Neurospora crassa OR74A: one gene and its partners. The protein of the gene in region 1 purifies or fractionates together with the protein of each later gene. This does not show direct contact. Links are inferred from orthologs where the notes say so. Each region holds a gene or a part of one and is shown in the gene's direction. Other genes may lie near its edges. The genes, in order: NCU04636, acp-1 and hsp78.

The links.
Region 2: the proteins of NCU04636 (region 1) and acp-1 purify together in Saccharomyces cerevisiae (affinity purification with mass spectrometry; 4 studies listed by BioGRID, with this or other methods). This does not show direct contact. The link is inferred for Neurospora crassa OR74A from reciprocal best matches to the Saccharomyces cerevisiae genes NFS1 and ACP1.
Region 3: the proteins of NCU04636 (region 1) and hsp78 purify together in Saccharomyces cerevisiae (affinity purification with mass spectrometry; 3 studies listed by BioGRID). This does not show direct contact. The link is inferred for Neurospora crassa OR74A from reciprocal best matches to the Saccharomyces cerevisiae genes NFS1 and HSP78.

Annotation. Positions count from the first base shown.
Region 1 is NC_026505.1:1,377,966-1,381,692, forward strand, and holds NCU04636 (cysteine desulfurase), read left to right. Parts: upstream 1-771; 5' UTR 772-982; coding exon 983-1,253; intron 1,254-1,325; coding exon 1,326-2,149; intron 2,150-2,337; coding exon 2,338-2,760; 3' UTR 2,761-3,122; downstream 3,123-3,727. UniProt on the Saccharomyces cerevisiae protein: Catalyzes the removal of elemental sulfur from cysteine to produce alanine. It supplies the inorganic sulfur for iron-sulfur (Fe-S) clusters. Plays a role in both tRNA-processing and mitochondrial metabolism.
Region 2 is NC_026506.1:4,099,114-4,102,902, forward strand, and holds acp-1 (acp-1), read left to right. Parts: upstream 1-911; 5' UTR 912-1,247; coding exon 1,248-1,457; intron 1,458-2,049; coding exon 2,050-2,067; intron 2,068-2,285; coding exon 2,286-2,366; intron 2,367-2,521; coding exon 2,522-2,617; 3' UTR 2,618-3,081; downstream 3,082-3,789. Other genes in the region: nuo21.3c (NADH-quinone oxidoreductase chain I), read left to right, coding at 1-141, 248-324. UniProt on the Saccharomyces cerevisiae protein: Carrier of the growing fatty acid chain in fatty acid biosynthesis. May be involved in the synthesis of very-long-chain fatty acids.
Region 3 is NC_026501.1:2,990,298-2,993,897, reverse strand, and holds the start of hsp78 (heat shock protein 78), read left to right. Parts: upstream 1-879; 5' UTR 880-1,053; coding exon 1,054-3,486; 3' UTR 3,487-3,600. UniProt on the Saccharomyces cerevisiae protein: Required, in concert with mitochondrial Hsp70 (SSC1), for the dissociation, resolubilization and refolding of aggregates of damaged proteins in the mitochondrial matrix after heat stress.

The DNA of each region.
Region 1 (3,727 bases):
CGTCGGTCGGACCCTTGTCAGCAGTTCCGTTCGAGGTCCGACAAACTTCCTCGGGGAGGATTCGGTCTTCAACGGTAGGAGGTAAAGTAGCTAGAGGTAGCTGTCCTAGAGGTAAGATGCTACTAAATAGTTTAGCAGTGTAAATGGAATTCAAGTAGGTTGTCGGCGGTTATATGGCATGTCACTGATGGTTCAAGTTATAGTCCAACGCAGACATCCAATGCGAATGGAAACAGAATACTACCGAGGAGGTAAATAGGTACCGTCATCGGTTGTTCTGCTTTTGGTCGATGAGACCCCGGAAAGGAACGAATTGGAACGACGGGGTAGACCGACTGGGTCTGGGGCCCGCTGTAGTGTAGCTTTCATCCCAGTGGACATGCCGATTGAGAGAACAGATGGATGCCTGCCCCGGGTCAGTGCTCTTCCTTTCTGTGCAATGATGGATCAGATGCGTCCGCGGAGTCCGTTTCACAAGTGGACATTCCGCACTGTATTTGTCAAGTCAGTCGCCGCGGTGCACATCGAGCGTTCAGTTTCCGTCATGCCCGGCGGCCCATTCTCTAACATTTTGGAGCAGCGTCATTTTCGCCGTACGTACATACGCGCTTGTCCGATGTCCGAGAAAGAAACAGGTGGGGCCATCCGATGGCAGAATGACCAATCAAAGTGCCAAACCTTGTTGGTTGTCGCCCCTCATTGGCACATTCCTTTATCACCGACCCCTCCGAGGCCAAGTCCGCGTGCGGATGCCGTTTGTTTCGATTTGTTCTTTTCTGTATGGCGGAAATTCCACTCCGACCGCCGAAGAGCGGGAGGCGGCAGCTCCATCTGAATTTCTGAGTGTGTTTTGAGCCGCCCCGCCCGCTGCCTCCATCCGTTTTTGTAGGTTTGGTTACAAAACGAACTTTTTCTCCCTCATCCGCCATCACCCTCACCACCATATTCTCTTTTCCTCTCCTTCTTTCTTCTTCCTTTTACCATGTCCACCATTGCGCCGTCCGTCTTGCGACAGGCATCGCGCTTGGCCGCGGCCGCTCCTCTCCGCAGCGCGCGTGTGCTGTCGCGGGCGACTACTGCGGCTGCTGTCAAGACTGCTTCTGCTTCCAGGAGCTATGTGACCGAGACCAAGAGGAACAACGCCGACGTGCAGGCCGAGCATGCTATCAAGCTGGATCACAGGGAGATGGAGAAGCAGGGCCTCACTATAAGCGCGCAAAATGGCTCGAGCCAACACGTCAGCCCCATGGCTGGTAAGCATCATCATCACCTCCCACCTCTTCGGAGACATATTGCGCAGTCGTCCTCGTTGCTGACTCAACTAGATGTTCTCAGCAATGCTACCGTGATGGATGAGGGACAGCGTCCCATCTACCTGGATATGCAGGCCACAACCCCCATCGACCCCAGAGTGCTCGATGCCATGATGCCCTACTTCACCAACGTCTATGGCAACCCCCACTCGAGGACACATGCCTACGGCTGGGAGACTGACAAGGCCGTTGAAGAGGCGAGGAAACACATTGCTGATCTGATTGGCGCTGACCCCAAGGAAATCATCTTCACCAGCGGTGCCACCGAAAGCAACAACATGAGTATCAAGGGCGTCGCTAGGTTCTTTGGCCGGTCCGGCAAGAAGAAGCACATCATCACCAGCCAGACAGAACACAAGTGTGTCCTCGACAGCTGCAGGCATCTCCAGGACGAGGGTTTCGAAGTGACCTATCTCCCAGTGAAGAGCAGCGGCCTGATCGACATGGCGGAGCTGGAGGCTGCCATCCGTCCCGACACCGCCATCGTCAGTATCATGGCTGTCAACAACGAAATTGGTGTCATCCAACCCCTCGAGGAAATCGGCAAGCTTTGCCGGTCCAAGAAGATCTTCTTCCACACCGACGCTGCCCAGGCTGTTGGCAAGATCCCCGTTGACGTTAACGCCATGAACATTGACTTGATGTCCATCTCCTCCCACAAGATTTACGGCCCCAAGGGCATTGGTGCATGCTACGTCCGTCGTCGGCCAAGAGTCAGACTGGACCCCATTATCAGCGGTGGTGGTCAGGAGAGAGGTCTTCGCAGCGGCACGCTCGCTCCTCCGCTCGTTGTCGGCTTCGGAGAGGCGTGCCGCATCGCCAAGGAAGAAATGCCGGTATGTTACAGTCTCTTTTGTCTTCCTTTGCCCCTTTTATGATGAGTCGCTTTACACATGCATGGCTTTCTGAAGTCCCGTGACAAGGACTCCTTGTTGATAGACAGCAACTTCTCTGATCATGATTCTTCCATATCCCACATTTAATGCATCTCTCGTTCAAGGATGGGCGCTAACTGTTACAACAGTACGACTCCAAGCGCATCAAGCACCTTTCCGACCGTCTTCTCAACGGTCTGCTCTCCATGGAGCACACCAGCCAGAACGGTGATCCCAACCACTTCTACCCCGGCTGCGTGAACGTTTCTTTCGCCTATGTCGAGGGTGAGTCCCTCTTGATGGCCTTGAAGGATATTGCACTTTCTTCTGGCAGTGCTTGCACTTCGGCTTCTCTGGAGCCTAGTTATGTTCTCCGTGCTTTGGGTAACAGTGATGAGAGCGCCCACTCCAGTATCCGTTTCGGTATCGGCCGGTTCACTACCGAGCAGGAGATCGACTACGTGCTCAAGGCCGTAACGGAGCGTGTGGGCTTCCTCCGTGAGCTTTCTCCTCTGTGGGAGCTCGTCCAGGAGGGTATCGACCTGAACACGATCCAGTGGAGTCAGCACTGAGAGGTGACATGATGTGGTTGATGTGCGGTATTTTAACACGGTTTATAAACTGGGCGGAGTTTCTATTGCATTTTTATTTCTCCCGCTGCGCTGCCTTTTCACAAACACTACAGGCCGCTCGGGTTGTTTATACGGCCAACTTTACGAATTGCCGAGGCTCCCGCAAGGACGGAAGCAAGGGGCAAAACATGACCCATTGTATACTATCATGTATGTAAGCGATATTTGCGGATGACCTTTGTTTTGATGAGCAAGAGAATGATACCATAGGGCTGGGAGGCGGCGCTCGGAGGTGTCAGAAGAACAATTCATCATTCATATAATGGATACACATAATTCCCCAGCACTGTGGCTGATAAACGTCTTTTTTTCCATTTGACTTTGGCTGTGTGTAGATCGTGTCCATTTTGTGACTGTTCTGAACCCCCCAACCCGATGGTTCTGCTGAAGAACTCTACAAAGGGCGTGCGTATACAATGTGGCCAGTTACCGAGGTCGAAGGCCAGACAATGAGTGAGTGTGTACATAGTAGTGTACGTTCTCAGAACTAAGGGTCAAGGGTTCCACCTGAAAACCGCCTTGGTGTTGAGGGGCTTAGCTCGGCTCGTTGGTGGCTGCGACGACTTATGATGTCACAGTTTCGTTTGAGATGGTGGGATGAACTGACGAACGAACCCCTATTGGCAGCCTCTCGCCTATGACATCATAGTCTCTGGTGTGCTTTGTGAGACTACAAACGACATCTTCACAGGCACACACTATGGTAAGGCCATCCAATGGACATTGCTGCCACATGCAATGACTAGTAAGTTGCTGGAAGCTACGAACTGGAACAAACAAGAAAGACCATGACTGGACCAATTAGAGCAAAAAGCGGGTTAGACATTTCGGAAGTGATGAACTGACACAAGGCTCACATGGCCATTTTCAGGCCTCTCCAGTCCGTCATTGCCTCCAACCCCAGGCC
Region 2 (3,789 bases), on another chromosome or scaffold:
GGACGACCCGCTACGATATCGACATGACCAAGTGCATTTACTGCGGATTCTGCCAGGAGAGCTGTCCCGTGGATGCGATTGTGGAGAGTCCCAATGCGGAGTACGCAACGGAGACGAGGGAGGAGTTGTTGTATAACAAGGGTGAGTTCTTTTCTGGGGGATGCCGTGATAACCTGGTGCTGGCTGGAGATAGGTTCTTGCTGTCGGGGGGCCAGGAAAATATGACATGTGCTGACAACAGATACAGAAAAGCTACTCTCTAACGGAGACAAGTGGGAGCCTGAGCTTGCGGCTGCTATTCGCGCCGATTCACCTTACAGATAAAGGGGTTGTGGCTTGAAGACCGGATAACAGGACGGACAATGAAGACAGAGATTCTTTTTTTCGTTGTTGCTATGCTAGAGTTTCGGAACCAGCAGTTTCGGACGGGTTGCGGTATCAACAGGACGCACCATTGTGTTATAGAAGGCAGGCAGGCAGGCAGGCGGACAGGCAAAAGAAGGCTGTAGATACATTTGTGAATTGCGTCCCTCATCCAACTTCTTGTCTTTTTGAAAGTCATCTCGCCAGGGAAGATCCTATATGCGGCCAAAGGGACGCATCAAGAAACCTAAAGATGCTTGAAAGGCTGAATGTACAATTAGTGTACGGTACCATCTGTAAGATACAAGCTGTATCGTGATGAACTCCATCCCATCGTATCCATCAACCGGGATTACCCGTCTAACAGACGAGTGGAGTGATCCTGCCCGTGGGGTGTTAGTGGAGTATCTGCTTGACACATTTCTCCGCAGTGTACAAGACGGTACCTGAGCGACCTGCACGTGACTCGGCTGACGAGTAGCAGAACGAGCTGAAGCTTCCATGGCTGCAGTTGCGGGGGAGCATCGAGGTTGTACGTACCAAGGTACCTCCACACGCTGAAGCTCCAGAGTCAGAGGCGGGTTTGTTAGCTTCGTTGGCCGCCGCCGCCCGCAGTTGCCCGCACCCGCTTCCCGCGCCCCCGGCGTACCATAGGCAGTAGGCGAGAAATTTATCATCATCATCGCTGATTCCAGCCAACCACCGCCCAGAAATCCGCTTCCAGCCAGAGAAACCCGCAACAACCTCGTCCGAGAACCACCGAGTAGTAGCGTCACACTCATTTTCGGCCACAGCCTTTCCTGTCACCACCACCGACCCTCAAACACCCGACCGACCCGCGCAATTGACACTTTCCGCGACAGCCCACCCAAACAAAACAAAAAATGTTCCGCACCGCCGCCCTCACTGCCGCCCGCGTGGCCCGTCCCGCCGTCGCCTCCGCCGTCCGCGCTGGTGTTGCCCGTCCTGCTTTTGTCCAGGCCGTCCCCAAGGTCGCTGCCTTCCAGGCTGTCCGGTTTTACAGCGCCGGTGGTCATCTCAAGAAGGATGAGGTCTTTAGCAGGATTGCGCAGGTGTTGAGTGGATTTGACAAGGTGCGTTTTACATCACAAGAGACCTACCCGACACGACATGCATACAAACTTCGAGCAGGAGGATGAGGAGGAGGAGCAGAAGAAAGGAAGGAGATAAGAAAGAGGTGTGAAGAGGCAGAGGGATACGAGTGGTCTAGGGACATACGCTACGCGAAGACAAGAGGAGAGAGCGTGCGGGGGAGCATCATCATCGCAAGCAAACCAGCCGGACAACAGAACACAAACGGAGGAAGACCAAAAAGATGCGAAGAGCATATCAAGGCTGCGCAGACGCGACAAAACGAGATGGAATACGATGAAGAGCACTGCGTGCTCCACACGCTGCGCCATGGTCGGATTTATCGGGAACTTGGGAGCTCTTCGAATGGGTCTGCCCTGCCGGCTGGGCTGGTTCTGCTCCGATGATGATGCTCTCCCCTCGCTTTTTTGCCCTCCTCCTCTTGCTATCTTGCTGGTCAACTTCTTGTCTCTTGCTCTTCTTTCTTCCTTACCTCGGCTGGATCTCCCCTCTCCTCCAGCCTCTTCTTCAGAAGCCACAACAGTCCCGTGTTCGCAACCTTTTTCCAGGCCCAAGCTAACATCTACTTTCCAGGTCAACGACCCCAAGAACGTAAGTACAGACGCAAACACCAACATTTCCTCCTCACCGTCACGGAGACGAACTATGATGTGATTTTTGGTCATGATGGGTCAATCCCAGTGCCCTGGTGCTCCCGGCCTGACAGTCTGGAAGGAGAGACGAGACGGGCAAACCGCAAGAATAGATGCAATGGAACGAGACCAAAGATACAGGGATGAGAGATTCTGACACAAGTTTGCGCATCACAGATCACCGAGACCGCCCACTTCGCCAACGACCTCGGTCTTGACAGCTTGGACACCGTTGAGGTTGTTATGGCTATTGAGGAGGTATGTTGCTCCCTTTTTTTTTCTTTTTATTCCGGGCCCTTGTCATATTCCCTTTTCGGCCCAAGCTCAGCCTCTTATCACAATCACCCTTCAACCCAAACACAGTCATAGCACATGGACGCCAAACACGATGCTAACAAACCTACCCGCAACAGGAGTTCTCCATCGAGATCCCCGACAAGGACGCCGACCAGATCCACTCGGTCGACAAGGCCGTCGAGTACATCCTCAGCCAGCCCGATGCCAACTAAAAAAAGTCCTCTGTTTCGTTCCTTGTTCGAGCGTTTTAGAAACCCCACTACTTGCGCAAATATAAAGCATACTTCTTCTCCCTACCTACCCACCTTACCTTTTCACCTCTATCTTTATCCTTAACTAGGTCGATTCGAAACATATCTTTGTCATTGTTTGGGATTCGATTCGATCTGTGTACCATACGAAAACTTAGAACCTGAATGAAAGAAGAGATGACGAATGGAATGGAGCATCGTGATGGGTACGGGCTAGATGTGAATTGTGGGCAGGTCGGACTTGGTCTTGATGTTGTTATCATTGTCAGAGTGGTTAGTCTGGGTTGGTCAACGCGGCGACACGTTGCAATGTTTGGTGGTCACTAAAGTGGTATTGTGGCAGGCTCAATATAGCGTTGGTGTCAACTCTTGTGCTGTTGCGTTGTGTTTTGTTTGTCGCCTATATCCGTACCTACACACTACTTACATACCCCCCCCCCCCCCCTTTCAGGTAAAGAGAACAATCATGACTGGAGCGCACTCAACTTGAAGGCCTGGGTTTATATGTCTTCCTGTCTGATCACTGCTCAGTTCAACAAACACAGACCAGTACCTGAATCGAGCGAAGTTGGCGAACCAGGAGAAACCATCTGACTGGGTATCTAGATGTATCTACCTTTAAACTGAATAGATACGTGGTATTTCTCAAGAGAAAATGTCAACTTTGTTGCGTGACCAAGTGAAGAAGATGTGACCGACGAGAGATCCTTGATACTACGACGGAGTATGTCTGGTCCTTTAAATGTCCCACTTCAATATTTAGATCGCGGCATGAAGATACCTACCTTAAGGTATGCATGTATTCACCACCACCTCAGAAACTTGCCCTCAAGATCACGTAAAGCCAGAATTGTTCGGTACCTACCTCAAGCTAAAACTGGGCTCCGTACCAACCGATATTCTTTCCTTTATTTTCCTCTTCGTCTTGTTTTCTTTCTATCTTTTATTTTTTATATATTTTACAAATTTTTTTTTTAATTCTTTTTTTCTCTCTCTTTGTTTAGGAGGCATTGATTCGTTCATTCACTCCTGGGAATCTCAATAGTATCGACTCCATCCACTTCGGTTAACCTGCCTTTATAGTGTGTGCGTACAAGACGCCGAGCGAGGGGCTCAGTGAGGTAACAACAAAG
Region 3 (3,600 bases), on another chromosome or scaffold:
GATACATGTGAAGAATCGGAGTGCCTTCGCACATGGTGCACACATTCTACATGCCCCTACGTCCAAAAGTTACTAGCATTAAGCCCTTGAACAGTTAAGAAATATTCAATAAACTATTGCTAAGCAAACACGATATAATCTATCAACTGTTGAAACCAGCAACCTTCTCGGACCACCTTGATACTCCCACCCGCCCATAACGCACCGGACAATCGGTAATGGTGACGAGGAAAGACTACACTAGGCTCCGTAGGGTTGCCAAATTCCAACTTCAGATGGGCTGCTCCATTGGACAAGCACTCGGCATGCGCAAAGATACAACAACTACGATTCATGAGTTAGCTCAAGAGCTGCGAAAAAGAAGCAATATTCCAAGTTGAATGAGATGCCAAAAGGGTCAGAGTCGCATAAATGCTGGTTTCGTCGTCATCTGCAGAGGTCTTAAGTCTGCTTGGTAACACGGACCAATTCGATCATCACGGGATGGGCGTGGGAGTACCGGTAACGGAGGAGTAGGGAAGGAGAATATCAAACAAGGTGCTAGAACTTACACTAATGACAGACACCGACGCGGCGTACTTCTGGCATTGCCAGCTTTTAGCAATTTGGAGCCATTCTCTCTGATGTCTCCCACAATGGCGCTGTTCAAACGCGGCGGTTGCACACGAAGAACCAAAACGGGGAGAATTTCACACAGCGAAAAATTTCCTGGCCATTAAATACAGACAGTGCACAGACCAGGCACAGGAACCCACCGAACTGACCGAAGACTCCATCGTGAAGACGGGACCTACATGGAAGCTCCGATAAGATAAGGAGCTAAGTACTGCCCTGTATGTAGGTAGGTACCTAAGCTCTCCCCCAGCTTCACGGCGTCAGTGCCACTGGAAGTTGCGAGAGCTTTCGACCTCCATCCATGTCAACGGTCAGTGGCACTACGTCAGGCCATATAAACCAGAGACATACCCTTCGTTTCAAAGTACTCTATAATGATTCAAGTTGGATTTTAGACTAGTCGTTCCCCTGAAATAAAACACGTACTCAAGTCTCAAAATGCAAACAAGGCGCCAATTGCTATCAACTGCCACTCGGCGCATCAGTGAGGCGTCGAGGGCCTCTCTCTCGCGAACCACCCGCCAGTTTCCCCGGGCACCGGCGCTGGGCGTAACCGTACCGGCACTCAATGCCACTCATCTAGCCAGCTCTCTTCGTCTTCTTCCCACAATAGCGACTCGATCGTATGCCAACGGCAGACCACGCCCCCCAGGCGGTACCCATCGCATGAACCTCGGGGGTGAGGACGAGAAACCAGCATTGGAACAATACGGTATCGACTTAACAGCAAAAGCACGAGAGGGAAAGCTCGATCCGGTCATCGGCAGAGCGGCGGAAATCCAGAGAACCATCCAAATCCTGTCACGGAGAACGAAGAACAACCCGGTGCTCATTGGATGCGCCGGTGTCGGCAAGACAGCCATTCTTGAAGGCCTTGCGCTGGAGATTGTGAAGGGCGCGGTGCCTGAAAGTATCAAGAACAGGAGAGTCATCAGTCTCGATCTCGGATCTCTTATTGCAGGAGCCAAGTTTAGGGGTGATTTTGAGGAGCGGCTGAAGAAGGTCCTGGGCGAAGTGCAAGAAGCCAACGGAGAGGTTATCCTGTTCATCGATGAGCTCCATACTCTCCTTGGCCTCGGAAAGGCCGAAGGCTCCATTGATGCGTCGAACCTCTTGAAGCCAGCTCTTTCTAGAGGTGAGCTTCAGTGCTGTGGTGCAACCACCATGACTGAATACCGTCAGATCGAGAAGGATGTTGCTCTCGCTCGCCGGTTCCAGCCCATCATCGTCAGCGAGCCGACAGTGGAGGATACCATTAGTATTCTGCGCGGTATCAAGGAGAAGTATGAAGTTCACCATGGCGTCCGTATCACTGACGGAGCACTGGTTGCTGCCGCTACCTATTCCAACCGTTACATCACCGACCGTTTCCTTCCCGATAAGGCCATCGACTTGATGGACGAAGCCGCCAGCTCGCTTCGCCTACAGCAAGAAAGCAAGCCCGACGATATCCAGCGCTTGGACCAGAAGATCATGACCATTCAGATTGAGCTGGAAAGTTTACGAAAGGAGAAGGACGTTGCCAGCGTCGAGCGCCGCGAGAAGCTCGAGGCTGACCTGAAGAAGTATCAAGATGAAGTCGCCGTACTGACGGAAAGGTGGCTGAAGGAAAAGGCCGAAATCGACAGCATCAAGCAAACCCAGGCAGAGCTCGACAGAGCCCGCATTGAGTTGGAGCAAGCACAGCGAACCGGAAACTTTGCCAGGGCCTCGGAATTGAGATTTGGCGTCATTCCAAACCTGGAAAAGAAGCTACCCAAGGACGGCGAAAGACCTACCCGTGATCTCTCTCTCATCCATGACTCGGTCACCGCTGACGACATTGCCAACGTCGTCTCCAGGATCACTGGCATTCCCATCTCCAAGTTGTCCAGCGGCCACACGGAGAGACTGATTCACATGGAAGACATCCTCCGCGAGTCTGTCCGCGGTCAAGACGAGGCCCTGAAGGCGGTTGCCGACGCAGTGCGAATGCAAAGAGCCGGCTTGAGCGGCGAGAACCGCCCACTGGCCTCCTTTTTCTTCCTCGGACCCACCGGCGTCGGCAAGACAGAGCTGTGCAAGAAGCTCGCAGGCTTCCTCTTCTCGACCGAGACCGCCGTTGTTCGCTTTGACATGAGCGAGTTCCAAGAAAAGCACACCATCTCGCGCCTGATCGGTGCTCCCTCCGGCTACGTCGGCTACGAAGACGCCGGCCAGCTGACCGAGGCCGTCCGCCGCAAGCCCTACGCCGTCATCCTTCTCGACGAGTTCGAAAAGGCGCACAGAGACATCTCGGCCCTGCTCCTTCAGGTCCTCGATGAGGGCTACCTGACCGACGCCCAGGGCCACAAGGTTGACTTCAAGAACACCATCATCGTGCTCACCTCCAACCTCGGTGCCGACATCCTGGTTGGAGCCAACCCCATGGTCCCCTACAAGGAGACGGAAGACGGTGACATCCACCCAGACGTCAAGCAGGCCGTCATGGACGTCGTCGCATCCCAGTACCCGCCCGAGTTCCTTAACCGCATCGACTCCTTTATCATCTTCAAGCGTCTCGCTATGGAGGCGCTCAGGGACATTGTTGACATCCGCCTGAAGGAGCTCCAGGAGCGACTCAACGATCGCCGCATCACCCTCGACGTTCCCGAAGAGGTCCGCCAGTGGCTGGCTGAGAGGGGATATGATCCCAAGTTTGGCGCGAGGCCGCTCAACAGGCTCATCACCACCGAGATTGGAAATGGGCTTGCGGATAAGATCATTCGTGGACAGATCAAGTCGGGCGATAAGGCGGTGGTGGAAATCAAGGAGGACAGGAGCGGACTGAATGTCTACGCGGAGCAGCAGGAGCAGCCTCCGGCTGCCGAGGAGGCTGAGGCTGAGGCTTAGACTGCTCTTGAGGCATGAAGTGGCCCGCTGCTGCTAATCTGATCCCAGGTTGATGGCGAGCAGTTGTATCTTTATTGTATCTCTCATTTGTTACTGGTTCTCCTCTTATGTTAC